Linked DNA regions of Macaca fascicularis. The protein of the gene in region 5 binds, or shares a complex with, the protein of the main gene of each other region. Links are inferred from orthologs where the notes say so. Each region holds a gene or a part of one and is shown on either strand. Other genes may lie near its edges.

Region 1 (3,939 bases), on a different chromosome or scaffold from region 5:
ACGATGTAAAAAAAAAAAAAAAAAAAACGCAGTATGAGGTCGGGCGCGGTGGCTCACACCTGTAATCCCAGCACTCTGGGAGGCTGACGGGGGCGGATCACCTGATATCAGGAATTCCGGACCAGCCTGGCCAACATGGACAAACCCCGTCTCTACTAAAAATACGAAAATCAGCCGGGCGTGGTAGCGCACGCCCGTAATCCCAGTTACTAGGGAGACTGAAGCAGGAGAACTGTTTGAACCTAGGGGACGGAGGTTGCAGTGAGCGCAGATCGCGCCACTGCACTCCGGCCTGACCGACAGACCGAGACTCCATCTCAAAAAAAAAAAAAAAAAAAAAAAAAAAGAAGGTAGAGCTTAATTCGGGAAGTACAATTTAACCTAAGGAACAGAAAACAAGAATCTCATATCTCAACTAGTAAAAATAATGAGAGTGCTCCTTTAGATTACAGAACAGATTTGGGGAAAGGGAATCACTTCAGAAGCTTCTGGGGTCTTTCACTTTTAAATGACCGTTGCCGAATTTAGAGATCTCTCAGTATTCAATCGTTTCCATCTCTGGGGTTAGAGGGGGAGCCGGAAGCGGTGGTCTGGAAGGCTCAGAAGTGACCGGTGAGGCCCTTTCCTCCTCCTCCTCATTATCTCTCCGTGACTACCGAGCCCGGGAAGAAGGACCGGTAGGTGCACTCCCCGAGGCCTCGACAGCAGCCAGAGAAAGGCAGCGACCGGGAAAGACGAGTCAGGCTCGCGACCACCAGAGAGAGGCCCTCACACCCAGGGGAGCGTCAGCGGGTCGGTCCGGTCCGCGCGCCTTACGGTGGCGCCCGGCCGTGCCCGGCCACTGCCCTCCCCATTCTCCACTCCCCACCGCGCCCAGCTGCTCCGACGCCCCCGTCCGCCCCCACACTAGCCCGGCCTTCACGTCCTACCTGCCGGCACGCAGACTCAACCTGTCCCCAACTGCTCGCCGGACCCAGTTGTCTGGGGAGCCCTCCCCTTTCCTCGGCTCCCGGCCGGGGCCTTCCACCCGGCGGCGGGCGGCTTATGACCCCGCCCCCTCGGCCCTCTCCGGGCCCGCCTACTGCCGGTTCGCTCCACTCACAACAGCGTCCCTAGCGCGATGACGTATAGGCGCAGGCGCACTGTGTCGGCGACGCCGAGGCGCTTCTGCATCTGTGGGCTGAGGTGTGTGGCAAGCGTCCGAGTGGCTGGGGAAAGTGGGGTGTGGGCAGACTGAGGGGTCCCAAAGAAAGAGGGGAAGAAGAGGAAAGCCCAAGAAGCCTGTCCACCGGGTGCTGGGGGCACAGGGCGGTGTCCCCCACTCTCTCCAGGCCCTTCCTGGCGGGGCCGCACTGCAGTTCCGCACTCGTTTAATCGTGGGTTTCCTGTGGGGCTAGGGCTCGCCCTGCGCCCAGGTGTAAGTGGAAGTTAGTTAAGTGGGCGGACGCTGAGTGATTTCTTTCCAGCCTAGGTCCGCACAGGACGTGATTTATTTAGTGAAGGGGCACAAGATCTGGAAACCTGGCTTGTACTTTTTTCCCCTTTCCCCGGGAACTACGGCTTAATCTCTTCCTTTGGTCTCCTCATCTGTAAAATGAGGTGGTTGGGGCCGGGCCCGGTGACTCACGCCTGCAATCCCAGCTCATTGGGAGGCCGAGGCGGGTGGATCACTTGAGGCCAGGAGTTCGAGACCAGCCTGGCCAACATGGTGAAACCCCGTCTCCACTAAAAATACAATAAATTGGCCGGGCACGGTGGCTCACGCCTGTAGTCCCAGCACTTTGGGAGGCCGAGGTAGGTGGATCATTTGAGATCAGGAGTTCAAGACCAGCCTGGCCAACATGGTGAAACCCCGTCTCTACTAAAAATGCAAAAATTAGCCTGGCGTGGTGGCGGGCGCCTGTAGTCCCAGCTGCTCGGAGGCTGAGGCAGGAGAATATCTTGATCTCCGGAGGCAGAGGTTGCAGTCAGCCGCCATCACGCCACTGCACTCCAGCCTGGGCGACAGAGCGAGACTCTGTCGCAAAGTATATGTGTGTGTGTGTATATATATATATACACAATACAATACAATAAATTAGCTGGGCTTGGTAGCTCTTGCCTGTAGTCCCAGCTACTCGAGAGGCTGAGGTGGGAGAATGGCTTGAACCTGGGAGGCAAGAGGTTGCAGTGAGCTGAGATCGCACCACTGCACTCCAGCCTGGGCGACAGAGCCAGCCCTGTCTCAATAAAATAAAATATAAACTAAAAGGAGGTGGTTGGGCTCACTGTGTAATTTTTGAAGCACCTTTCAGAACTATCTTTGAGTCCTGTCTCCCAGGATCTTACCCTTTGTCATTCTCCTGAATGGGAAAAGAAATCCTTTGAATAACGGACAGTTTACACCTGGGTTGGGCACACTGGTGTAGAGTTAGGCTGCTTGCTTCTATTAGGGCTAATTGACCTTGGGTAGAGTTGGTTGGCAAGTAAGATGTGGCAATATTCCAAGTAGACTCATTTTAATTTTGTTAAAAAATCAGAATGTCTCTTAATGTTAACTGTCTTTCATAGACTTAACTGTTAAATATTGACACTTAATTATTTTGCCTCATTTCAGAGGCAGTCCCCAAAGTATATGAAAGTTAATGATTTTTAATTCAGTGTTACCTTCTTCTTTTTATTAGCATTCTTGAGGTCATCTGAACCTTCTGACTAAGAAAACATGGTCAACGTCTTGAAAGGAGTGCTTATAGAATGGTTAGTAGTTTTGATACTTCATGAGTTTTAAGTTTAAATATTGAATCTTGACTTACGTGTGTGTCCTTTCTAAAACCCTGTTGTTTTTAAGATATGAATGAAATCAAGTCTTTCACTTTTAACAAGTGGCACAGATTTTGTTGCAAAGTTCCTAGTGCCAGATTTCAGTCCCTCTGTTGAATTGATGGAACTGGCATGATCAGAGGCAGCATATTTGTTAGATGAGTCATCTTTAGAGGAACAGTGCTTGCATTCTCCTCAAACATGACTAGAATTTTAGGTCCTGAAAGAGTTCAGGAACTTGCTTAAGTCTTTACCATTACAAACTGTAGACTTTAAAGAGAAAAACAAGAGAGCCAAGTGGAGAAGGTTTCTTAAATTCCTTTAGATACATTCCAGAGGAGAAACTAAAAACCATAAATGGGCAGGGTTGAGGTCCTCAAAGCAATCCAATGTCTAGGAACCCTGCTCTGTGGACACTCCCATTGTCTGAAAATACTACTGTCTACCTTTCTGTGCCTCTAATATGAGCCAGTGCATGGATAATGATACTGTTTACTGTGATGGCAAAGCTGAGGAGGAGAAGGACCAAACCCTTGGACACTGCCAACAACATAAGCTCATGCATTATGATTAGTGTATGATAGTGGTGAAGGCTGCTTTTGTCACCATCTTGGTTCTGGCTGGTTTCTTTACTGTATCCTCGCTTATCAGTCGGGTCTTCTGACCTGTTGTTTACTGTCTCTCCTGTCTTAGAAACTAGTTCTGCTGAATTCCTATCTCACAGCTGCTTCCACTGTCCCAGGAATCTCTCCAATTTGAATCTCTCCAAATTCCAGTCCCATCATTGTATTAATATAAGCTAATGTGTAATAACTTATATAGTGCTGTTCCACATATATCTTAAGTTGGCTTCACTTACTGCCATATTTAAGCTCCATTTCTATCAGTTATGTTTAACTGATTTTTAAGTCTGCAGAGATTTGCTAAAGAAGTAAACCAAATTATGATGATGGCCATTTATTCTGACCTTCAGTGAATTGAAAAATCAGGGCACTTGGATATAGTTAAATTCTTAACTCCCAAGGGCTTATCACATACTAAAATTGAAGGCTATAAAAAAAAGTTTTATGTTTATAAATTTACATTTTTATGTCAAAACTGAAAGGTTGGTGAAAACTTCCTCTTTGTTGGGATCCACCA
Region 2 (2,120 bases), on a different chromosome or scaffold from region 5:
TATTGCTGCCCTGTCCACTTCCACTTACCCTCCCTCCCACTGGAATGTAGAGAGCCAGCTCCTCCAGCTGCTTCCAGAACCACCAAGTCCTCTCCTCCTACTCTCTTCATAGTCATCTCCCATGCCTAAAAGGCTAAAAGCCTCTGTGCACATCTTCCATAAAAATAATGAACATTTCTAGACTATGCAAGCGACTCAATCAAGTCAGCGTGAACTGACTTCCTAAGAGCCTGAAAGTGCTGGAAGGACCCGAGCAGGGCTCCTTGCCAATTCAAAATTCCGCGCCAAATGGGTGGTATCTTCTGGGCCTGGGGTACCCTCAGGAGCCAAAAGTACAACACTCTCTCCCAAACGGAAAACCGCATTGGAGGATAAATGTTGAGAACAGTCAGCCAGGAGACTGAGATAACCCTGAACCCAGATACCAAAAGGCTGGAATAGATCCTACATTGACAAGTGATCAGCTGGCTGTGGGCCAGAAACAGTACACCACAGACAAATTGCAAAAAAATGATTTTACAGTAAATGAACTTTTTACAAAAAGGGGAGGGGCAGTCTGAAAAAGTAAAGTTTAATTTAAAAATCATATACACAAAGCTTCTGATTCATTTGCAGCTTTCCCACTGTCTTTCACAGGCGAGTCAGTTTCCCTTTGAGTGCAGGCCAGTTAAAGATGCCACCACAGTGGACAGTGAGCCAGCCCCTCCTCAACAGGTGAGCAAGACTGGCTGCCACTCAGGCTTGAACAATGCCGATGACCTGAGTGACTAGGCAGCAAGGCTGGCTTCTGGCGAGGTTCAGAAGGCTAGCTTCTTCATCAGGAGATAAACTCTGGAATCCACCTCGAATCCATGCAGGTTGTTGGCATCCCCCTGCAGCCTCATGAGCAGGCCCCCATAGGACACATAGGCAGAGCTGAAACAGAAGGCCCCATCCCATGAGTCTGGAGCACTGCTACTCAGCAGCTCTCCATCTCAGCCTAAGAAAAAGAAGAGGCATCTTTCTACTGTTTTGTCACTAGGAACCAAAATTCTGACAAAGATCAAGATATGTGCAAGGCACTGTTCTTTATATTAGCGAAGGTGGAAAACACCTATATGCCCCAAATCAGGGGAATGGTCAAATGAATCAAGATGTATCCACTTACTGAAATGTTATGCAACTATTAAAACATTTAAGAAAAGCTTCACACTAACATGGGGAAACATATTTTACATAATGTTAAGCAAAAAGAGCAGAAGAAAACATAATAAACACCACAGTCTCAAAGGAAAAAACAGAACACCAGGATATGCAAAAAAGTCTATGTAAAAGGTTATCTCTGGGTATGGAATTACAGGTGACTTTTTTTTTTCCTTCTTCACATTACTCTTCTGCATTTCAAATTGCTTACAAAAAGCACATATTGTTTTAATAAGATTTTAAAGAAAAGAAAAAATAGCTGGACAGGAAAACCAAGGAACTAGGGATTGGGTTACAGAGTAGCAAAACACACACACACACACACACACACACACACACACACACACACACACACACACAGCCTAATAGGATAATCACTTAATGCTGCATTTGTTTCTGGAGAAGCAAGTCTCCTTTGCACTTTACACAGTAAGATAACCAGTTTCTCATCTGGACTGCTGGGCCAGGAGGGCCTGACAAAGAGCAGTCTACCTTTCAGACTGGAAACTGCTCTCAGAACCATTTCTTTCTAGTTCCTACCTAGGTCTGAGGTGCCTGAGGAGAGGGACCCAACAGAGGAAGCAGGAGCATAGCTCAAAGTCTCAGAACACAGAGAGGGAAAAGAACCTCATAAGATTATGTAACTTACAGGCGTGTTGCTGCTTCAGTAGAAGTTTCGTCTCCCTCAATCCTGTACACTTTTCCATACATTACATATTCAAATTGGTCAGCCCTGTGGAGCAATAGCAGCAAAGTTATTCTTAACAGTAATTAACAATATAAAAAATCCCATTTAAAAATGGTTACTGGTCGGCTGGGCGCGGTGTATCAAGCCTGTAATCCCAGCACTTTGGGAGGCTGAGGCGGGCAGATCACGAAGTCAGGAAATCGAGACCATCCTGGCTAACACAGTGAAACCCCATCTCTACTAAAAATAT
Region 3 (4,041 bases), on a different chromosome or scaffold from region 5:
TTCCTAAAGGTTTTGTCTCAGGTGGTTCGGGGTGGCCAGATTTGGCATCACACAAATTTTTAAAGCTCTTTAGGTGGCTCTACTATACAGCGAAAGTACCTACTATATATCCTGCCAATGCTCATCCTGCATGGAGAGGTCCCTGTGCCACTAATCGCTCAGCCTGTTTCCTTTGCCTAAAACACCCTAGGGAGCTGTGAAGACTAAAGTCAGGGAGTGATGTGAAGACTTTACAATCCAACAGTTTTGGGGTTTAAATCCCAGTTCCAGTATTTCTTAGCCCCCCTGACCCCAGAAAATTCTCAGACTCAGTTTCCTTATATATAAAAAGTGATTAGGCCAGGTGCAGTGGCTAATACCTGTAATTGTAACACCTTGGGAGGCCGAGATGGGGGGACTGCTAGAGTCCAGAAGTTGAAGACCAGCCTAGGAAACACAGTAAGACCCCACCTCTATAAAAATTTTAAAACTTAGCCAGGTATGGTGCTGTGCACCTGTAGTACCAGCTGAGGTGGATCAACTGAGCCAGGAGGTCAAGGCTGCAATGAGCCATGATTGAGCCACTGCACTCTAGCCTAGGTGACAGGACATGACCCTCAAAAAAAAAAAAAAAAAAGTGATTAACGGTCCCCTGCTCACACAGTTAATGTATGAACTCAGTGAGATAATTAATGCAAAGTGTTCTGCTTTCAGGGCTGGCATGAGAGTTCAATTAAGTACTGGCATTCATAATAAATCCCCTATTTAGAAAAACGACTCTTATACCAATATGAAGAATGGACTCAAATGGGTGAAGGTGGAGGCAATGTGGAAGTACTGGGTGTATAAAATCAAACTACGGAAGAAGGCAAAAAATTGCAAGAAGAGAACAGAATGAATGAAAGTTATTACAGAAAAAAAAATAACAAGGACCCAACAAAATATATTGGATACAGAATATGAGAGTAGGAAAAATCTTAAATAGCTCTGTTTTGAGCCAGTGTAGCTAGGAAAAGTACTGCCATGAGAAATAGGTGACACTTGAAGAGGAGCAGATATGGAAGAAATGAGGAAATCATTTTTAGAAGTGTCTCTGAGGAAATACCATAGGATATTCCTCTGAATATGCCCAGCAGGTAGCTGAACAAATGAAACTAGAGCTTAGGAATGAAATGAAGCTGTGCCACCTTGTTCAAAATCTGTGCATTCTAAAATCCTCCTTCCTGACCACTAACTTCTCTCCTCCACCACTACCCACTCACACTGAATCTCCTTACTCAATCTCTAGAGGTCTTAGGTAAGAATTCTCAAACTGGCAGCCCCCCAACGCATTGTTTCACCCAAAGAAATGTTTCAAAAATTTTCTGAATTAGTTGTCAACATTTAAAAATTGTAAGAGTTCACATAAATTTCAACTTCCAGCTCCTCCTGAAAAATTGGAAATATCTGAGGAAAAAGTGAGCCCATGGTCCCACATGGAAACAATAAGCTGAAGACGAATAGCAGCTGGCATTATTAGGGAAGGAGTATGGCTGGTCTCTGGAGACTTCTGAGTGTGGTACCTCCTAGGACCTTTTGTTTCTTCCTTTGATCTTCATAGTCCATGAGTCATATCCCAGCCTCACCTCCCTACCCCAGTCCAGACACGTGTATTTTAATCATATAAACATTTAAGGACTATTGTGCACCAGGCACGGAGCTAGAGAAACAAAGTTGAAAAGAATGCACCCTCTGCCCTCTGTCTACTCTGTCAGCCTCATATCCAGCCACACTAGCATATTCTCAATTCCATAAGCCACATGTGCTTTCCGTGCTTACCAGAGCTTTGCACATGCTGTTCCTTCTGCCCCTACAACTAAGCCAACCCCCTTCTCCTAATCATCCTTCAAGTCTCAAATGACGTTTCCTCATAGAGGCCTTCCCAGACTCCCCATTAGGTAGCGTACAATCATCCCCTCTCACATGTTCCATGGCTCTTTCTCCCTTCTTGTACTTTCTCCATGTCTATCTCTAAGACCAGACTTCATTTTGTTCACCAATTAATTTCCAGTATCTAGCACAGCCAGACAAGTACTTCCATAAAACTTTCCATATGTGTCCTAGACACGTGTTGTTCCAACACGGCTCATTTTGCCAGCTTCCCCCCGCTTCACTTCCTCCACTCTTGCTTCCACGGTAGAATTGGACAGGCTATTGGGCACTCTCTTCTTAAATTTAAAACAGTTTTAAGCTGGAGGTGAGTGGATCAAATTCACGATGTTAAAAGTGTGCGCTGACTGCAGAATGGAGAAAAAAGCTGGATGCGAAGAGTCCAGTTAGATTACTTCAGTACACCACTACGCCAGTTCTAGAACAACCTGGGATTCTACACATCTAACTGCGGTGTTCTGGTACCACATTTCATGGCACTTTCCACGCCTTCACTGAACACATAGCGGCAAACTACTGCGAAACCTCCGGACCCAGCTGCCCTCCACGAGACGCGTTCGGTGATATGCACTCCTCCCCACTGCGAGACCCCGAGACCCCAAACTCCCTCGGACTCTCCCAGTTGGGTCTAGGGCCACACTCGGCGCACCCAAGCCCGCCCTACCCGAGGTCCCACACGGGCCGTTCCGGGGTCAATGGTTCTTTGGAGAACCAAGAGGACCAAGGCAAGAGGGTAATTCAATAGGGGAGGACAGTTAAGAGGGAGCGAAAGGAAGAAGAAATCATGAAATGCAATGCCCGGCCAGGGAACTCCGAACAAGGAACAGGGAACAAGGTTTACCAAAGCGAATCCTGGAACACTCCCACTACAGCTGCCCTCAGCTCTTCAACTACCGGCTTAAATGAGCCACGCCTCTTACGCGACAAAGAAAACGCACTATTCCTGAGACCAGCTGGGGAAACACCCCGCTACCAGACCAGCCAATCAGCTCAGTGAAGCCTTCGATTCAGACAGTCACGCTCCGAGCGGCCAATGAAATTGAAAGCTCTGCCCTCCATGCCCAACTCTGATTGGCTTACAATCCCGGAACAGGCGTTAACCCAAGGAAGGCAGTGGCAAGATGGCGTCCCTGGATCGGGTGAAGGTACTGGTGTTGGGAGACTCAGGTGAGCGTCTTACCCCACCTCTGGGGCTCCAGACACTTTTGAGTTACCCAGTAACCCTCCCCTTACCTTCCTTCCCTCAACTCCCTGGCTCTTCGGCCCGTGGCTGAAGTCCCTCCGAAGTCCTGAAGACTACACTTCCCAGGGGACTTTGCTCCGTGTGACGACGCGGCGGCGGCGGCGTCGCGCGGGTGGGGGTCGCGGAGCCCGGGTCTTTTTCCTTCGCGGCTTTCCACATCAGTCTCCCAGAAGACTGCAGCCTAGAGTGTATTGTCAGTTATTTTATTTGGAAAAAAAAAAAAAAAAGGCAGGCATTGAGTATTGTATGGAGTTCTGTGTTAAGGGTACAGAAGTTAGTAGGACCGTGCCTTCAAGAGATTTTGTTCATTAAGGAAGTCAAACGTGCACTGACAAACGTGAACTGGCAAGCGCTTCTCATACATTAACTCATTTAATTCTGAGATTAGTCCTATGATCACATTTTACGGATGAGAGTAGTGAGGCAGAGAGATGTGAGTGGCAGAATCCTTTTGAACGCAGAGTCCACAAACTTAAACGCTAAGTTATAAATACGCAGTGACATATTGGGTGGTGGTCCTGTTTTATTCTTAACTGAGCTTCTTGACTTCCTGGTTCTCGTTTGATCTTCATTGAAAACCTATTATGTCCTAGACTGTACGATAGAGAAATTAAAGTAAGAGTTTTATTCTGAAGCAGCTAGGATTTAACGCTGAGCCGAATTTAATCCTAGTGTTAAAATTCTTTTTTTTTTTTTTTTATCTCAATGGATGCAAAGAAAAATTATTTTGACCCCTGGGACATTTGAGAACTACAGCTGACTTCTGGATTTCCAGCTCCCACCTCACTGCCCTTATCTTTTCTTCCATAATCCCCAGTTCATCTCTCCTTAGTAACTTCAATAAATGCTGAACTTGCATTTTATAGATGTGCTCTTCTGGAGTTGGCCTA
Region 4 (2,410 bases), on a different chromosome or scaffold from region 5:
CGGGCGTGGTGGCGGGTGCCTGTAATCCCAGCTACTCGGGAGGCTGAGGCAGAATTGCATGAGCCAGGGAACTGGAGGTTGTGGTAAGCCGAGATTGCACCATGTACTCCAGCCTGAGCAACAAGAGTGAAACTCTGTCTCAAACAAAACAAAACAAAAACACATTAGCCAGGCATAATCGTACATGCCTGGCTGAGCCATGAGTTCAAGGCTCGCCAGGGCAATACAGTGAGACCTCACCTCTACAAAAAATTAAAAACTTAGCTGGGCGTGGTGGTGTGCACTACTTGAAAGGCTAAGCGGGGAGGATGGCTTAAGCCCGGGAGGTGGAGGGTGCAGGGAGCTGAGACAGTGGACACTGCAGTCCAGCCTGGGCAACAGAGCAAGACCCTGTCTCAAAAACTAAAAAATAAAAATAAAACCATGAAAGTTGGGACCAAAACATAAGGAACAAGACATTTATCCCTAGCAGAATAGCAGATCTAAAAAGGAAACAAATCTCAGCAATTTATTTTTTTATTTACTGAGACAGAGTCTCACTCTGTTATCCAGGTTGGAGTGCAGTGGCGTGGTCTCGGCTCACAGCAACCTCCACCTCCCAGGTTCAAGTGATTCTCGTGCTTCAGCCTACAGAGTAGCTGGGATCACAGGTGCCTGCCACTATGTCTGGCTACTTTTTCGTGTGTGTGTGTGCCAGGATCTCATTCTGTCACCCGGGCTGGAGTGCAGCGGCACCATCAAAGTTCACTGCAGCCTTGAACCGGGCTAAGAATCCCAGGTAGCGGGGACTGCAGGCGCGTATCATCACACCCAGCCCAAACTGAAGACTTCCTGGGCTGTGCGGTGGACAAGTCATGGCTATAGAGAGAACTAGGGGAGTGGAAGGGAGAACTGTGGAAGTGGGGAGCACGGGCCCTTGGTCAGTGTGAGGGAGGCTGAGCCAGGAGAAGGAGGACAGTAAGAAGGTCTAACAGGCATCTGAAGATTCCAGGAGGAGCCAGAGGAGGAGATGGCTTAACCTTTCCAGAATTGCTAACTATGGGGCCCTGGGAGTCAGGGAGCAGGATAGTGAAGGGGCAGTGAGAGCCTGAGTTCTGGGGGCAGGGCTGTGTGCCGGACAGCGCCTCACTCTAGGATGGCGAAGGGGCAGTGAGAGGCTGAGTTCGGGGGCAGGGCCGTGTGCCGGACGGCGCCTCACTCCTTGAGGGAGAAGTGCATTTTGTCGTTGACCATCTTGCGCTCGGGGTTGAGGCGCTTGAGGATCTGGGCCAGCACGTTCACCGTCTGCTCGCTGCTCAGCCCTGTCTTCTTGGTCTGGAACTTTTTCAGCAGGTCCTTAGTGGTCATGGGCTTCCGTGTCAGGTAGCGGCGCACGGCATCCTCAGTCACCTGCACGTCGCTGAGGATGGGAGGGCGGGGAAGGTGGCATCAGTGAGCTTGTCCCCGGTAGCGCTTGCCCTGCCCCCTGCCGTCCTCATCAGCTTACCCGCTACTGGGTGTTGACTTGCCCGATGGCGGCTGGGGGGTCGACTTCCCGGACAGGCTCTGGGGCCCCGCGTCCAGCCGCAACCGCTTGGCTGCAGGCATCTCGCTCACCCGCTTCCCTGTGGGAGTGGGGTCAGGGCTGAGTCTTGGGGGCAGGAGGCCGAATCCCTGAGCAGGACCCCAGGCTGGGCAGTGCCAGGATGAGGGTTCAGGGGGATTGGGGACAGACAGGCCTCCACCCCCATCTCCATCTCCTCTCTGTCTTAAGCCCCAACAGAGGTCGGGAGGCCGTGGCTGTGGGAGTGGGGAGGCCACAGGCGCTCACCTTGCTCGAGCTTGCTGGCAGCCGCCCGCAGGGTGGAGGAGGTGCTGCCGCCCTCTGCGCTGGGCGTGCCTGGGCGGCTGTTGCCCCTCGAGCTCCCTCCCGACGGCTTCCGCTCTCTCTTGGGTGGCGTCTTCTTCTTCTGCGGAGGTCAGGGTGGGGTGAGGGGTGTGAGTCTGGAAACAGACGCCCAGGCCTCCCCTGTCACCGGGCTGGGCCTTACCGCCATGAAGAGGGCCGAGGAGGCCTCGCTGTCAATGTCGCTCTCCTCTGAGCTGTCCGACTCCTCGCTGCTGTCTGCGGGGCACAGGAAAGGGGTCAGGGCCAGAGCAACCCTGGGACCCGGCATCCACCGGTACCTCCACTGCAGATGAGGGAGGCCTGCAGGGGAGAGGGGAGGAGGCAGCAGAGCACCAGGCCCTGACCCGAGCCTCCAACATGGGCCACACCGGCCGCACCTTTCCTGCGCTTCTTCTCCTGCGGGGTGGGCGCCTTCTTCTCCTCCTCCTCCTCCTTGTCCTCCTCGGGTGGCTTCTCCTCCTCACTCTCCTCGCTACTGTCACTCTGCTCATCAACACCTGGGGGGACAGGGTATGAGCAAGA
Region 5 (3,500 bases):
ACTAAGCCATTATCAGATTATGGCACTGTTGTAGTTTAAAATGTAATGAAAAGCCTACCACATATAGTAACAGGAAAGCCCCTACCAAAATGGGAGAAAACAGCCATGCAGGAAACACACCTAGCACTCAACTGTTAGTCTAGGATTCAGTAGTCCCACTGAATTCAACACACTATACAGCACACAAAGTATCAACTTTGGTGACATGTCTTTATTGACAACATTTGTGCAGGTTAAGCTGAGACACTTTTAAGTTAAAAATCTTAGGAGGGCCCTGCTTCTGATAATGACCAAGTAGCTCCTAAAGGACCCAACCTCCCACAGAAAACACTATCAACTCTGGACAAGACATTTTAAAAATCAACTACCTAGGCCGGGCGTGGTAGCTCACACCTGTAATCCCAGAACTTTGGGAAGCTCAGGCGGGCAGATCACCTGAGGTTGGGAGTTGGAGACCAGCCTGACAACAAAATTAGCTGGGTGTGGTGATGCATGCCTGTAATCCCAGCTATTCAGGAGGCTGAGGCAGGAGAATCACTAGAACCCAGGAGACGGAGGCTGTGGTGAGCTGAGATCGTGCCATTGCACTCCAGCCTGGGCAACAAGAGTGAAATTCTGATTTAAAAAAAAAAAAAAAATCCAACTACCTAAAGGAACTGAAAAGCAACCAAAAGAAAACAGGCAAAAAGGGGGGGAGGGGGGGTCTATACTCAGAAAGAAAGAGCACCGAGGGCAGGCCACAGTCAGTGCCCTGTGAAGCTAAAACTCAGTGTTTTAGCTAATCCTCAGTGTTTCTGCATTGAAGAACCAGGAAACAGAGCGTGGGGCAACCACAGCAACTGGAAAGTGAAAAAGGAAACCTTGGAAAAAGTCAGCCTAGCTACCCTGGGCTATGCATGAATGGAAAAAGATTCCGAGCAAAAGGGCTAAGGCTAAAAGAACAGAAGAGACATATCATATGCTACCTGCTGTAGGGTAGACAAGGTTTGGAGTAACTGCCCACTTAACCACAAAACAAAACAAATAAAAACACTCTTTGGAGGAATGTAACAGAATCCTGAGTCTTTACACGTATTAATATAATTCACAAGGTCTAAGACCCACAGAAATGTATTAGATATATGAAGAAACAGGAAAATATGACCCATAAAAGAGACAGTCACTGCAGACCAGCTCTAAGATGACTCAGCTGTTAGAATAAGAATTTTAAAACAGCTATAAGAAATCATACTCAAGGGTGTAACAAAAGATACCTGTCACGAATGGAAAAAAAAAAAAAAGAAAACGAAATTCAGCAAAGAAACAGAAACCAGAAGAACAATTTAAAAAGAAAGGCTAGAACTGAAAAATACAACTAAAAAAATTCACCAACTGGGCTTAACAAGTTGGAAGTGAAGAAGAAAAGTGAGTGAACTTGACAATGGATTAACAGAACAGGAAAAAAAAAAAACTGAAATAAATAAAGAGAGCCTCAAGGACTTGTGGTACAAAACCAGAAGATGTGACATGTATAATTCCATTACCAAGAAGCAGAGGAGAGAAAAGGCCAAGTTTTCTTCTAATAGCAAATGAATGAACCTGCTTGATAAGTTAACATTAATCCTTAGCAATTGTGACAAATGAAAACAAGCAGCTTTCCCCAGTGAGTTTCAAATTTAAATTGGAAATGTAATCTGTACCAGTAGGACTTTCATAGGTAGCCCCTTTAGGACTTCAAAATAGCCAGGTTATTAATCAATACTTTTGTGTTTTAATGCCTCTAGTTCCTCAGGTAAGGAACATCTACTACTATTATAGAAGACACTCTTATTTACAAACACAGCTTACAAGAGAAACTCTACTGCCTTTGAGGAAAATTTTCCAGAAATATCCTGAACAATCAAACAATCATATAGCAACAGCAACAGGAACCCGTCAAAGTTACACAGAGATGGCTGCTCCCTTTCCTGCTTGGTGACACAAGACAAATTTCAAACCTTCAAGTGGCTCACTGTAACCCCATGTGTATATAATGGAAGCTTTAAAAACAATTGTAAAATGTTTGATATTTCTAGAACCAAGAAGTCATTATTCATTCAAATTACATTAAGACACAGAAAGAAGAGAGAGATTACCTTGACAGCTTTCTGGGAATTGGGCAGTGCTTCTTCGATGTCTTCTAAAAGAATCCCTCCTAATCCTCGCTGGTCATGCTGATCTAAGAGCCTAAGTAGGGCCTTCTTATCTCTCACGTTGTACTTGGGCTTGAAAGCATACTTCCCATCTATTACTTCAATTTTGGGATTGTTGACTAAAGCCTGTAACAGTGATACAATTGGAGTATATTAACAAATGGAAACATAAATACGTTCTTTTTTTTTTTTAAACGAGTCTTGCTCTGTTGCCCAGGCTGGAATGCAGTGGCGTGATCTCAGCTCAGTGCAACCTCCACCTTCTGGGTTCAAGCGATTCTCCTGCCTTAGCCTCCCTCTCCTGCCTCCCTCCCTCTCAGCACCTGGGACTACAGGCGCGTACCACCACACCCAGCTAATTTTTGTATTTTTAGTAGAGACAGGGTTTCAACATGTTGGCCAGGCTGGTCTTGAACTTCTGACCTCAGGTGATCCACCTGCCTCGGCCTCCCAAAGTTCTGGGATTATAGGCATGAGCCACTGCGCCCAGCCCATATATACATTCTTAATTCTACTAATTATTTTAAAATACAACACCAGCCAATACAGTGGCAAATTAAAAGTACCTTATGAACACAAACTGGCAGGCCTAACATCCTGGACATCCAGGATTCCAGAAGAGTAGATCAGCATGGTGTTCACTTTTTATAAAAGAAACTGTGTTTTATTTACATAAATTCTTTGAGGAGAAATAAACTATTTTATCACAACTACTTTGAAAAAAGCTGAATCCATATTCTTCTAGAAGTCAAAATGGGTAGAAATCAATAAAACACCTAGTGAACTGAGTAGTGCCCACTCCGCCTGCAAAGTATAGCTTATCACATATTGGCATTACAAAGTGAGAGACATTACCCGTACTAGTCAATGGTCTTCCCCATCTGCTATCAACTGGCACTGGCAGCTGTGTAACGAACTGAAAAGGACCAGACTAGTGCATACAAGAACTTTACCTATGTCAGCTTGAGAATGAAACTGAGTAGGAATGCAGGAATTACTGAATATAATTATGTTTCTAGTCAGTTCTGTTGTACAGCTAGTATCAGAAGGAAAGCTCTTCAAAAAGAGCAACCCTATATATTTTCTTCTGCAGCTGCCAGCCTGACCCTGAAAGGAGAGAGAGAAGAAACACAGGAAGAAGAAAAAAGGGAGAATAGAATAGTAAAATGATCAAAGTCATGTTAACTATATGTTGGTAGTCTATGAACTCTCAAGGTTAGCTAAACCAGCAAATTTAAATGTGGATTACCATTGTTTGTACATCACTAATACAATGAGCTACAATTATGCTAATTAATGGTCATGCTACATTATAAAAGTCAAGACCTA
Region 6 (4,170 bases), on a different chromosome or scaffold from region 5:
TCCCACCTCAGCCTCCCAAAGGTGGGGTTACAGGGTCCAGCCACTGAAACTTTCATTTTCGACACACTCCAGGTCTCTTCCCATCTTTCCTGTTAATTTTGCTAGCTAATCGCAGAGTTCTGACAGCTTTTCCTGGCCCTGTGCTGAACACACATAAAATTTCCTCAATTTTGTGCAAGGCTCTGATGTGTGATTCAATACATTACTTGCCCTTCTTAACAATACCTTACTGTTTGTTTCTCTTCAGCGAATGTTCTTTCACCCAAAGCCTGCTGAAACCTGACAATGTGTCAAACACTGTGCTATACATTGTGGATATAACATGAATAAAGCACTATTTTTTATTTGTAAATTATACCTCAATAAAGCTCTTTCTGCCTAGGAGGAGTTCGTTGTCTGGAAAGCAAAGGCAGATATGTAAACATATGTATTATAGTGCAGAGTGCTAAGTATCACACTGTGATGTGAAGAAAAACTAATTTCTTCTGGGGAAGTTGATAAAAGATCTCATAAGAAGTGACATTTCCATTGGTCTTGAACCATAAGTAGGAGTTTGCCAACCAGAGGAAAGAGTGGGAGTGAGGGCAGGGGTAAAAGAGGGCTTCCAAGGAAGGGAATCCAGTGTGCAGAGGCTCTGAAATGACCGAGGAAGATTCTGACGTGTTCCGGGAAGTCTGCTGGGTTTGGTGTGGTTCGGTGCATGGTGGAGTAATGGTGGGAGGGGAAAACGGATGAAATTAAGAGGGCCCAGTTGAAGCAGGAGGATTGAATTTTATTCTAGAGGCAAGAAGAGAAAGAGAAAACTTTAAGCAGGGGAGGAAACGATCAGTTTTGTCTCTTACTTGTTCGTTTCGTCACAGACCTTCGGGTTTTGGAATATGAGGTGCTCTGCTTGCTTAATCAGAGGAGCTCGGGCAGCCTCTGAGCTGAAACACGGCTTTCTTTTCAGGTCTAGAAACGGCATGTTTTCAATATACCCAGGGCTACCAAGTCTGATCCCAGTGCCCACTTGTGCTAATGACGTTGGCCAGGGGGGATGCCAATTTACTAACCTAAGCCTGTCCTTCAAATATTCTTTCTCTCTCTTTGGCTAGGGTTGGACACGTTCTGACAACTTTTGTCTCTTTGAACCCCGTTTTTCCGTTCTGATAATCTTTTTCTTCAGTTATGCTGGCCATGTCTTTAAATACGTTGCTAACGTTTTGGCTCATCTTACCCTATGTTTTAATCCCTCAGATACACACTACGCTGACAGCCACGCCCACCCAAGGAATTTCCGAAACAGAAAGTTTGTCTGCAACAGCGCGCCGTACGGACGTACAGTGCGCAGGCGCAGTCTGGCTACCGGCGGCGTGTTCCTCTTTCCCCCCGGTTTCCAGTGTCCTGGCAGGTAAGGAACGCCGCCTCTTCACCTCTCAGCGCGGCTTGCCCTTTGTTCCGGACGCCCACTTCTCAGCCCTCCGGCTCCTGGTGTCGCTGCTGTAGGCCACACGCGTCCACCGGCAACAGACCCATGGCCGAGCGCGGGGAACTCGACCTGACCGGCGCCAAACAGAACACAGGAGTGTGGCTAGTCAAGGTAATGTTCACGAGTCTCCCACTTGCGCTCCTCCTAACACAAGTATAATTTAAGTAACTTGAGCCCATCCCGCTCCGTGCACCTCTTAAAGTTCTTTTACGGCTATCTCGTTAGAGCTTCACATATTTTGAGAGGCATGAGTCATTGTTGTATCTGTTTGCAGATGAGGAGATTAGTTTAGGGACGCAAAGTGTCTTTCAGCCGGTTACTGGTCTGAATCAGCCTGGACTAGATCTCTTTCTCACGGCTTTCCTGGAGCCCTGTCTTGGTGTTCCTAGACTTGGGCGGTGCATTTTATCCCAGACCGAAGAATTACTTGTATCTTTCCCTTGGTGAAACTGGTTTTAGCCATGAGCCTGTGTGAGGTAGTTGAATGTCTGCTTTCTGTACAGTTTTTTCGGCGAGAAACTAGAACTGGTCCCTGCGTACTCTTAAAGTATTCTCTTAGGTAAATGGTCCTTAATGAAGCTCTCAAAAGAGGCGAGAGAGCCCTGAACAAACAGAAGGAGAGGTCAGGAGAGGTCATTGGACTGGAGTATTCTTTCAGAGCACATTTGGGTCTGATGAAACTGGCCGTCAATAAATGTTTTATGTAAAGACAGCAATTTTGGTTGGCTCACAGCGGGCACTATTTGTGCTTTACTGTTTCATATTGGGGAGTGTTTTCTCCTAGGGGAGTTTCATAATACTTAAGCAAATTCAAAATGTGATCCTGAAAGTCGTTGAGACTTAAAATGTAAGGACTTTCGGTTTCTTAATGCTTTAACTGATTTATCATATGGCTGAGTTCTCGTCAATTAAATCTAAGAGGTCTTTCTTGTCGGCCTTCTTAAAAATGGCTCCCTTATGATCATTTGCTAACACGACAGATCCGTATTACATTCTTTCTTTTCTTTTTTTCTTTTTTTTTTTTTTGAATCAGAGTCTTGCTCTGTCGCCCAATCTGGAGTGCAGTAGTGCGATCTTGGCTCACTGCAAGCTCCGCCTCCCAGGTTCACGCCATTCTCCTCTCTCAGCCTCCCGAATAACTGGGACTACAGGCACTCGCCCCCACGCCCGGCTAATTTTTTGTATTTTTAGTAGAAACAGGGTTTCACCGTGTTAGCCAGGATGGTCTCGATCTCCTGACCTCGTGATCCGCACGCCTTGGCCTCCCAAAGTGCTGGGATTACAGGCGTGAGCCACCGCGCCTGGCCGTTACATTCTTCAAAGCACTTTTCACAGTGTAGAGTGATTTTGTGTTAATATGTTCAAAGTTGGTTACCTCCGTCTTTCCAACACACAAAATCACATTCCATGAGATTGGATCTTTGCCTGTCATACCCAGAATAGTGTTTGGCACATGGTAATTACTCAACAAAAAGGTGATGAATAAATGCATGACCTCTCATTCTTTAACCCTCGCCTTAATCTGTGGCACTGATTTGACTTATTTCCAAGCTCAGTGTGACTTAAAAGGATGAATTAAATAGGCATTTCTCTCTCCAGCAGCGTGTTAACTGGAGGAGAGTCACTAAGGAGGAGATGGCCCTTGCAGACTGAAGGAAAAAGCTTGAAAAAATGGTGTGACTTGAGATGGTGCCATTGTTCTAGGAGCATGGTAAATGCTCAGTGTTTACGCCTTACAGGATTTGGGTGGGTGGACATAGCGTATACCATGGGGAATGGAACAGAAATGCAAGACTCAGAATACATAATCAGCATGGTGTGTCGTGGAAAACAGAGAGAACCTAGAGCAGAAGATCTGTGTAGATAAAGGTTGGGACCATATACTCAGATTGTCATATCATGAAACGGAGATGTTCTAACTTTAGTTTACAAGGAAGTAACAAACTTTTTGGAGGATTTGAGTGAGGGAGAGATGCCAAATATTTATTCAGAAAAAAAAAAGTTTGGCAGTGTGCAGTACGAATTAGAGGGGAGGGTAAGTAACCAGAGTCACATTTAGAAAATCATCACAGGATTGGGCCGGGCACGGTGGCTCACACCTGTAATCCCAACACTTTGAGAGGCCGAGACAGGTGGATCATGAGGTCAATAGTTTGAGACTAGCCTGGCCAGTATGGTGAAATCCCATCTCTACTAAAAATACCAAAATTAGCCGGTTGTGGTGGCATGCGCCTGTATTCCCAGCTACTCAGGAGACTAAGGCAGAAGAATTGCTTGAAACTGGGAGGCGGAGGTTGCAGTGAGCTGAGATTGCTCCGTTGCACTCCAGCCTGGGCAACAGAACAAAAACTCCATCTCAGAAAAAAAAAAAAAAAGAAGTAGTAACTTGTTGCTTAGAAAGTGTGTCTTCATTCTCATCTCATCAGAATTTTATTTGAACTACGTATTGATTTCAAGTTTTTTCTCCTTACATTAATATTTTCTGTTAAAAATAATACCTTGAGTTCTGATCTTTGTTGCTGAAAAATGTTTCTTCCTAGGATATATCAAGGTCATCTTGTACATATTTAATTCCATCACCAGTTACAGAACTGTGTAAATGCAGTAAGGACTGTACATACAAGATCTCTTAGAGTTTTGAGCAGGAAAAAAATTAATGCTTCACCAGAACTGGAAAGACATCATAGAGAAGGTGATGTTTA
Region 7 (3,500 bases), on a different chromosome or scaffold from region 5:
AGATAGAAAAAGAAACAAAATCTCCAGTACTCTGATGTGGCAAAAATGAGGTTTGATACTTTAAAATTTTGTTTTTGTTATTGTTTACACTTGGGTTAGAATTATAGATTTGTTGTATTTCTGTGTCTGTATCAGTTTTTAAAATGGAATAACTTTATAAAGAGATTAATAAAACTGTTGTGTTCGTCTGTCCAGAGTTATTTTTCACTTAGAAATCTTTAATGTTCTTTGCCTTAGTTATGGGAAAACAAACTAATGCAGTCCAGGGCAGTAGATGGATTTCATTCAGAAGAGCAGCAGCTTCTACTGCAAGTTCAACAGCAGCATCAACCCCAGCAGCAGCAGCATCACCACCATCACCACCATCAGCAAGCTCAGCCTCAGCAGACAGTACCTCAGCAAGCGCAGACCCAGCAGGTCCTTATTCCTGCATCACAGCAAGGTGAGACTGGATTTGTTTTCCTACTTATGACTTGGAATTAAGTTTGTCGTCATGAAAGAAGAGAAATATTCTACATTTCTTGGATCTTGTCTTTTAAGGGGCGCATGGAGAACCTAAAAATAAACAAACAAAAACCCCTATGTTGATTTTGGGCTTTTTTTCCACTTTCTCTTGGCTGAGGGGTGTGGGTGTATGTAAATGTATATAAATTTGTATAAAACGTAGGTTGTATCTGTAGAGTAATGGTAGACAAGTAATTTACTAATTGAAAGCCTAAGTTGTATTACTATTTAGTTTTGAAAAGGCTATGTAGTGATGGATTTCCTGAAATAAGTTAAACCTAAAAGGTTTATTTACTAAGGACTTTATTATTTTATATGGTAAAATAGTTATTTGCTTTCTCTATGAAACATGTTCTTTCAGAGACATGTTTCAGATTAGTTTTTAAAATATATCTTAAATTCTAGAGTTTTTTGTATACTTTGGCAATCTGAAAATTCAGTTCCATAGTAATTTATGTAAGCCTAAACGGACTGAATTAGATTTATTATAAGTTAAGCGTGGATATATAACATATCTTAATTTATATTTCTTGGATTAAAGCTAAGAAAAAGCAAATATTCGTAGACTGTGTCCATAGTGCTTTGTACTCTGCAAGTCATTTTATAGATACTGTTTCATTGGCACCTTATAAGGGCTTTGTAAAATAGCCCTTGGCTCAGTTTCACAGCTGAGGAAAATCTGAGCCCAGAAAACGCTAAGAAACTTGATCTGTATTTTCTCTCATGACACACGTCTATTCAGTTATAAAACTTTCTGAGCATTCTAATTCAGTGCATCTGCTTTTATGGGAGAGGACACTAGAAGTAGATGAAAAGTTCATTTTAATGTAATCATTTAGTTACTTATTTGCCTCATTTGACAGTATATATATGTGTCTCAAAATTGGTAATGATACACAGTAGAAGAGTCTATTTGGGTTATTTTACTGTTGACGTCTAGTGGTAGTTTTCATACCTAATTTTAGTGTATACTTTGTATCAAATAATTTTATCCCTTTATTATTTTTTGATGACTGTTCTTCCTGTTGCCTTCAGACCTGGCATTAGGATTTTAGGTCATCATAAATTAAAATTTGATTTTCTTCACTCAGAGAATATTAGGATAATGGAGTTATCCGTCTGTTCTCTGAAATTTGCGGAATCAAACATTTAATTCCTTTTATGCTTAAGTAACATTGCCATTATTTCTGATTTGTATTTTTTCCAACTTGGGCCCGTTCACCACTCTTCAGGCAACCTGGTGGTCCTCTGCTTTCAGGAGGCCACCATATTGATGCCGAACTTAGTTGGACACCCAATCAGCATAGCGCACTATAGCCCAAAACTCCTGGGCTCAAGCGATCCTCCCACCTCAGCCTTCTGAGTTGCTGGGACTACAGGCATGCATCCCTGCATCCGGCTGATTTGTATTTTTTAAACAGCCGATGAAAGTAGCATGAGTCTGTCAACTTTCATGTTGGAAGAAAAGGACTATGTAGGTTTCAAAAACTAGTCACAATTTTTTGAGCTTACTTTTATTGGATTAGTAACTCATTGCAACAGTGGTATCATTGTATCAGTAAAACAAAATTATGAGTTGAGTTAAGACAAAATTATGTTTGAAAATATCCAGTTTACTTAGGAATGCATAGAACTGTGTATGTGTGTATGTTTAGGTGTTAAGTAACTCACTACTTCATGTTCCTAAATGCCCTTGCATCCTTAGGAATTGTCACTTAAAAAATTTTTTTTTTTTTTGAGATGGAGCTTGTCACCCATGCTGGAGTGCAGTGGCATGATCTCGGCTCACTGCAACCTCCAGTTCCCGAGTTCAAGTGATTCTCATGCCTCAGCCTGACACCCAGCTAATTTTTTTGTATTTTTAGTAGAGACGGAGTTTCACCATGATATTGGCCAGTCTGGTCTCGAACTCCTGACCTCAAGTGATCCGCCCGCTTTGGCCTCCCAAAGCTTAAATATTTGTGTTTTCTAGTATAGGGTGGGTATATCACAGCTGTTATTTGCCGTATAAATTTATACTGTCCTGAGAGCAAATGATTGAAAGCATTTGAGTGCAGAAAACATGGAAAACATGAAAAAAGTTTTCATCATTGTATGTAAAATGTTCTTGTGATCAGAAAATAGCCTCATGGTTCCTTGTTTACATGTGTACTTGTTTTTTTGTAGCCACAGCACCACAAGTTATTGTTCCAGATTCTAAGTTGATACAGCATATGAATGCATCAAACATGGTAAGACTCAGAATGTAGCAGTTTGATTGGCTGTACTTAATTCTAACTCAAATTGTGATTATGCCTATATATGTCATATATTAACAACTTGAAGTTTATTGAAGACTCAGGCAGAACAGCTATTTTAGTTTAGTTTCCTGAATATTGGATCTGAAGTTTAGCTTGGTACCTAGACATTAAGGTTCATAAAATTATGGAATTGTTTAAGAATACTAAAAGAATGGTGCTTTGTGAGAGTTACTCCATTCCCTACTATGTCCGAAAAAGTTTATAATGCCAAACTTATAATGCCAAGTATGGTTCTGTTTCAGGAGACCTGGTAATTGCAAGAAGTTGGGAAGGCTAAGAATTGTTAACTTTTAAAAAATGAAGATGAACTGTTTGGATAGTTCAGTATAACTATTTTTAAAATCAAGCATTTAAAAATATTGCTTTGACTTAACCATAGTATAGTCTAATAAGTCATTATAGTGTGTAAATTACCAAAGAATACATTTTAACCAGTTGAGTTACATTAGAAGTTTTATATTTCTGAGGACTATCCACTAAACTTTACAAGTCCTCACTCATTTTCAAATTACATTTCAGACATATAATATTTCTCAACAAATATAGTATAGTTTAACTGTGAACTTGAAAGAACCTCTTCAGATCCTTAGAAAATCTTTACCTATATGCTTGAAGTTGTTTTCTTTTTTTTTTTTTTTTTTTTTTTGGATAAAACATTAAAATACAGTCAGAGTAGTTCAACACTTCCTTATAAAT

What was found.
Region 1: GTF2E2 (region 5) and GTF2H5 share a complex: the UniProt entries of both Homo sapiens proteins name them as parts of the TBP-based Pol II pre-initiation complex. The link is inferred for Macaca fascicularis from reciprocal best matches to the Homo sapiens genes GTF2E2 and GTF2H5.
Region 2: GTF2E2 (region 5) and POLR2H share a complex: the UniProt entries of both Homo sapiens proteins name them as parts of the TBP-based Pol II pre-initiation complex. The link is inferred for Macaca fascicularis from reciprocal best matches to the Homo sapiens genes GTF2E2 and POLR2H.
Region 3: the proteins of GTF2E2 (region 5) and GTF2E1 are in contact, whole or in part, in a crystal structure (PDB 5GPY), measured with the Homo sapiens proteins. The link is inferred for Macaca fascicularis from reciprocal best matches to the Homo sapiens genes GTF2E2 and GTF2E1. Residues at the interface, in NP_002086.1 of Homo sapiens: Asp159, Gln160, Arg161, Gly162, Leu163, Gly164, Gly165, Leu167, Leu190, Val192, Asn193, Arg194, Pro195, Ile200, Phe202, Cys208, Gln209, Phe210, Ser211, Val212, Asp213, Glu215, Phe216, Gln217, Leu219, Trp220, Arg221, Val223, Thr224, Val225; in NP_005504.2 of Homo sapiens: Arg16, Lys19, Tyr20, Val21, Arg23, Gly24, Phe25, Tyr26, Ile28, Glu29, Leu32, Arg39, Leu51, Leu52, Lys53, Phe54, Asp55, Gln58, Gly68, Asp69, Lys70, Phe71, Lys73, Thr98, Asn101, Val102, Val103, Lys104, Tyr105, Lys106.
Region 4: GTF2E2 (region 5) and GTF2F1 share a complex: the UniProt entries of both Homo sapiens proteins name them as parts of the TBP-based Pol II pre-initiation complex. The link is inferred for Macaca fascicularis from reciprocal best matches to the Homo sapiens genes GTF2E2 and GTF2F1.
Region 6: GTF2E2 (region 5) and GTF2F2 share a complex: the UniProt entries of both Homo sapiens proteins name them as parts of the TBP-based Pol II pre-initiation complex. The link is inferred for Macaca fascicularis from reciprocal best matches to the Homo sapiens genes GTF2E2 and GTF2F2.
Region 7: GTF2E2 (region 5) and GTF2A1 share a complex: the UniProt entries of both Homo sapiens proteins name them as parts of the TBP-based Pol II pre-initiation complex. The link is inferred for Macaca fascicularis from reciprocal best matches to the Homo sapiens genes GTF2E2 and GTF2A1.

Annotation. Positions count from the first base shown.
Region 1 is NC_088378.1:66,517,957-66,521,895, forward strand, and holds the start of GTF2H5 (general transcription factor IIH subunit 5), read left to right. Parts: upstream 1-1,139; 5' UTR 1,140-1,185; intron 1,186-2,663; 5' UTR 2,664-2,701; coding exon 2,702-2,736; intron 2,737-3,939. UniProt on the Homo sapiens protein: Component of the general transcription and DNA repair factor IIH (TFIIH) core complex, which is involved in general and transcription-coupled nucleotide excision repair (NER) of damaged DNA and, when complexed to CAK, in RNA transcription by RNA polymerase II.
Region 2 is NC_088376.1:96,289,922-96,292,041, reverse strand, and holds the end of POLR2H (DNA-directed RNA polymerases I, II, and III subunit RPABC3), read right to left. Parts: intron 1,916-2,120; coding exon 1,832-1,915; intron 916-1,831; coding exon 798-915; 3' UTR 501-797; downstream 1-500. UniProt on the Homo sapiens protein: DNA-dependent RNA polymerase catalyzes the transcription of DNA into RNA using the four ribonucleoside triphosphates as substrates.
Region 3 is NC_088376.1:162,458,672-162,462,712, forward strand, and holds the start of GTF2E1 (general transcription factor IIE subunit 1), read right to left. Parts: upstream 2,801-4,041; 5' UTR 2,750-2,800; intron 1-2,749. Other genes in the region: RABL3 (rab-like protein 3), read left to right, coding at 3,030-3,075.
Region 4 is NC_088393.1:7,158,781-7,161,190, forward strand, and holds the end of GTF2F1 (general transcription factor IIF subunit 1), read right to left. Parts: intron 2,386-2,410; coding exon 2,266-2,385; intron 2,105-2,265; coding exon 2,031-2,104; intron 1,950-2,030; coding exon 1,811-1,949; intron 1,605-1,810; coding exon 1,487-1,604; intron 1,400-1,486; coding exon 1,195-1,399; 3' UTR 501-1,194; downstream 1-500. UniProt on the Homo sapiens protein: TFIIF is a general transcription initiation factor that binds to RNA polymerase II and helps to recruit it to the initiation complex in collaboration with TFIIB. It promotes transcription elongation.
Region 5 is NC_088382.1:33,815,381-33,818,880, forward strand, and holds part of GTF2E2 (transcription initiation factor IIE subunit beta), read right to left. Parts: intron 2,298-3,500; coding exon 2,115-2,297; intron 1-2,114. UniProt on the Homo sapiens protein: Recruits TFIIH to the initiation complex and stimulates the RNA polymerase II C-terminal domain kinase and DNA-dependent ATPase activities of TFIIH. Both TFIIH and TFIIE are required for promoter clearance by RNA polymerase.
Region 6 is NC_088391.1:24,364,745-24,368,914, forward strand, and holds the start of GTF2F2 (general transcription factor IIF subunit 2), read left to right. Parts: upstream 1-1,370; 5' UTR 1,371-1,513; coding exon 1,514-1,579; intron 1,580-4,170. UniProt on the Homo sapiens protein: TFIIF is a general transcription initiation factor that binds to RNA polymerase II and helps to recruit it to the initiation complex in collaboration with TFIIB.
Region 7 is NC_088381.1:149,170,862-149,174,361, reverse strand, and holds part of GTF2A1 (transcription initiation factor IIA subunit 1), read left to right. Parts: intron 1-237; coding exon 238-442; intron 443-1,511; exon of another isoform or gene 1,512-1,655; intron 1,656-2,670; coding exon 2,671-2,735; intron 2,736-3,500. UniProt on the Homo sapiens protein: TFIIA is a component of the transcription machinery of RNA polymerase II and plays an important role in transcriptional activation. TFIIA in a complex with TBP mediates transcriptional activity.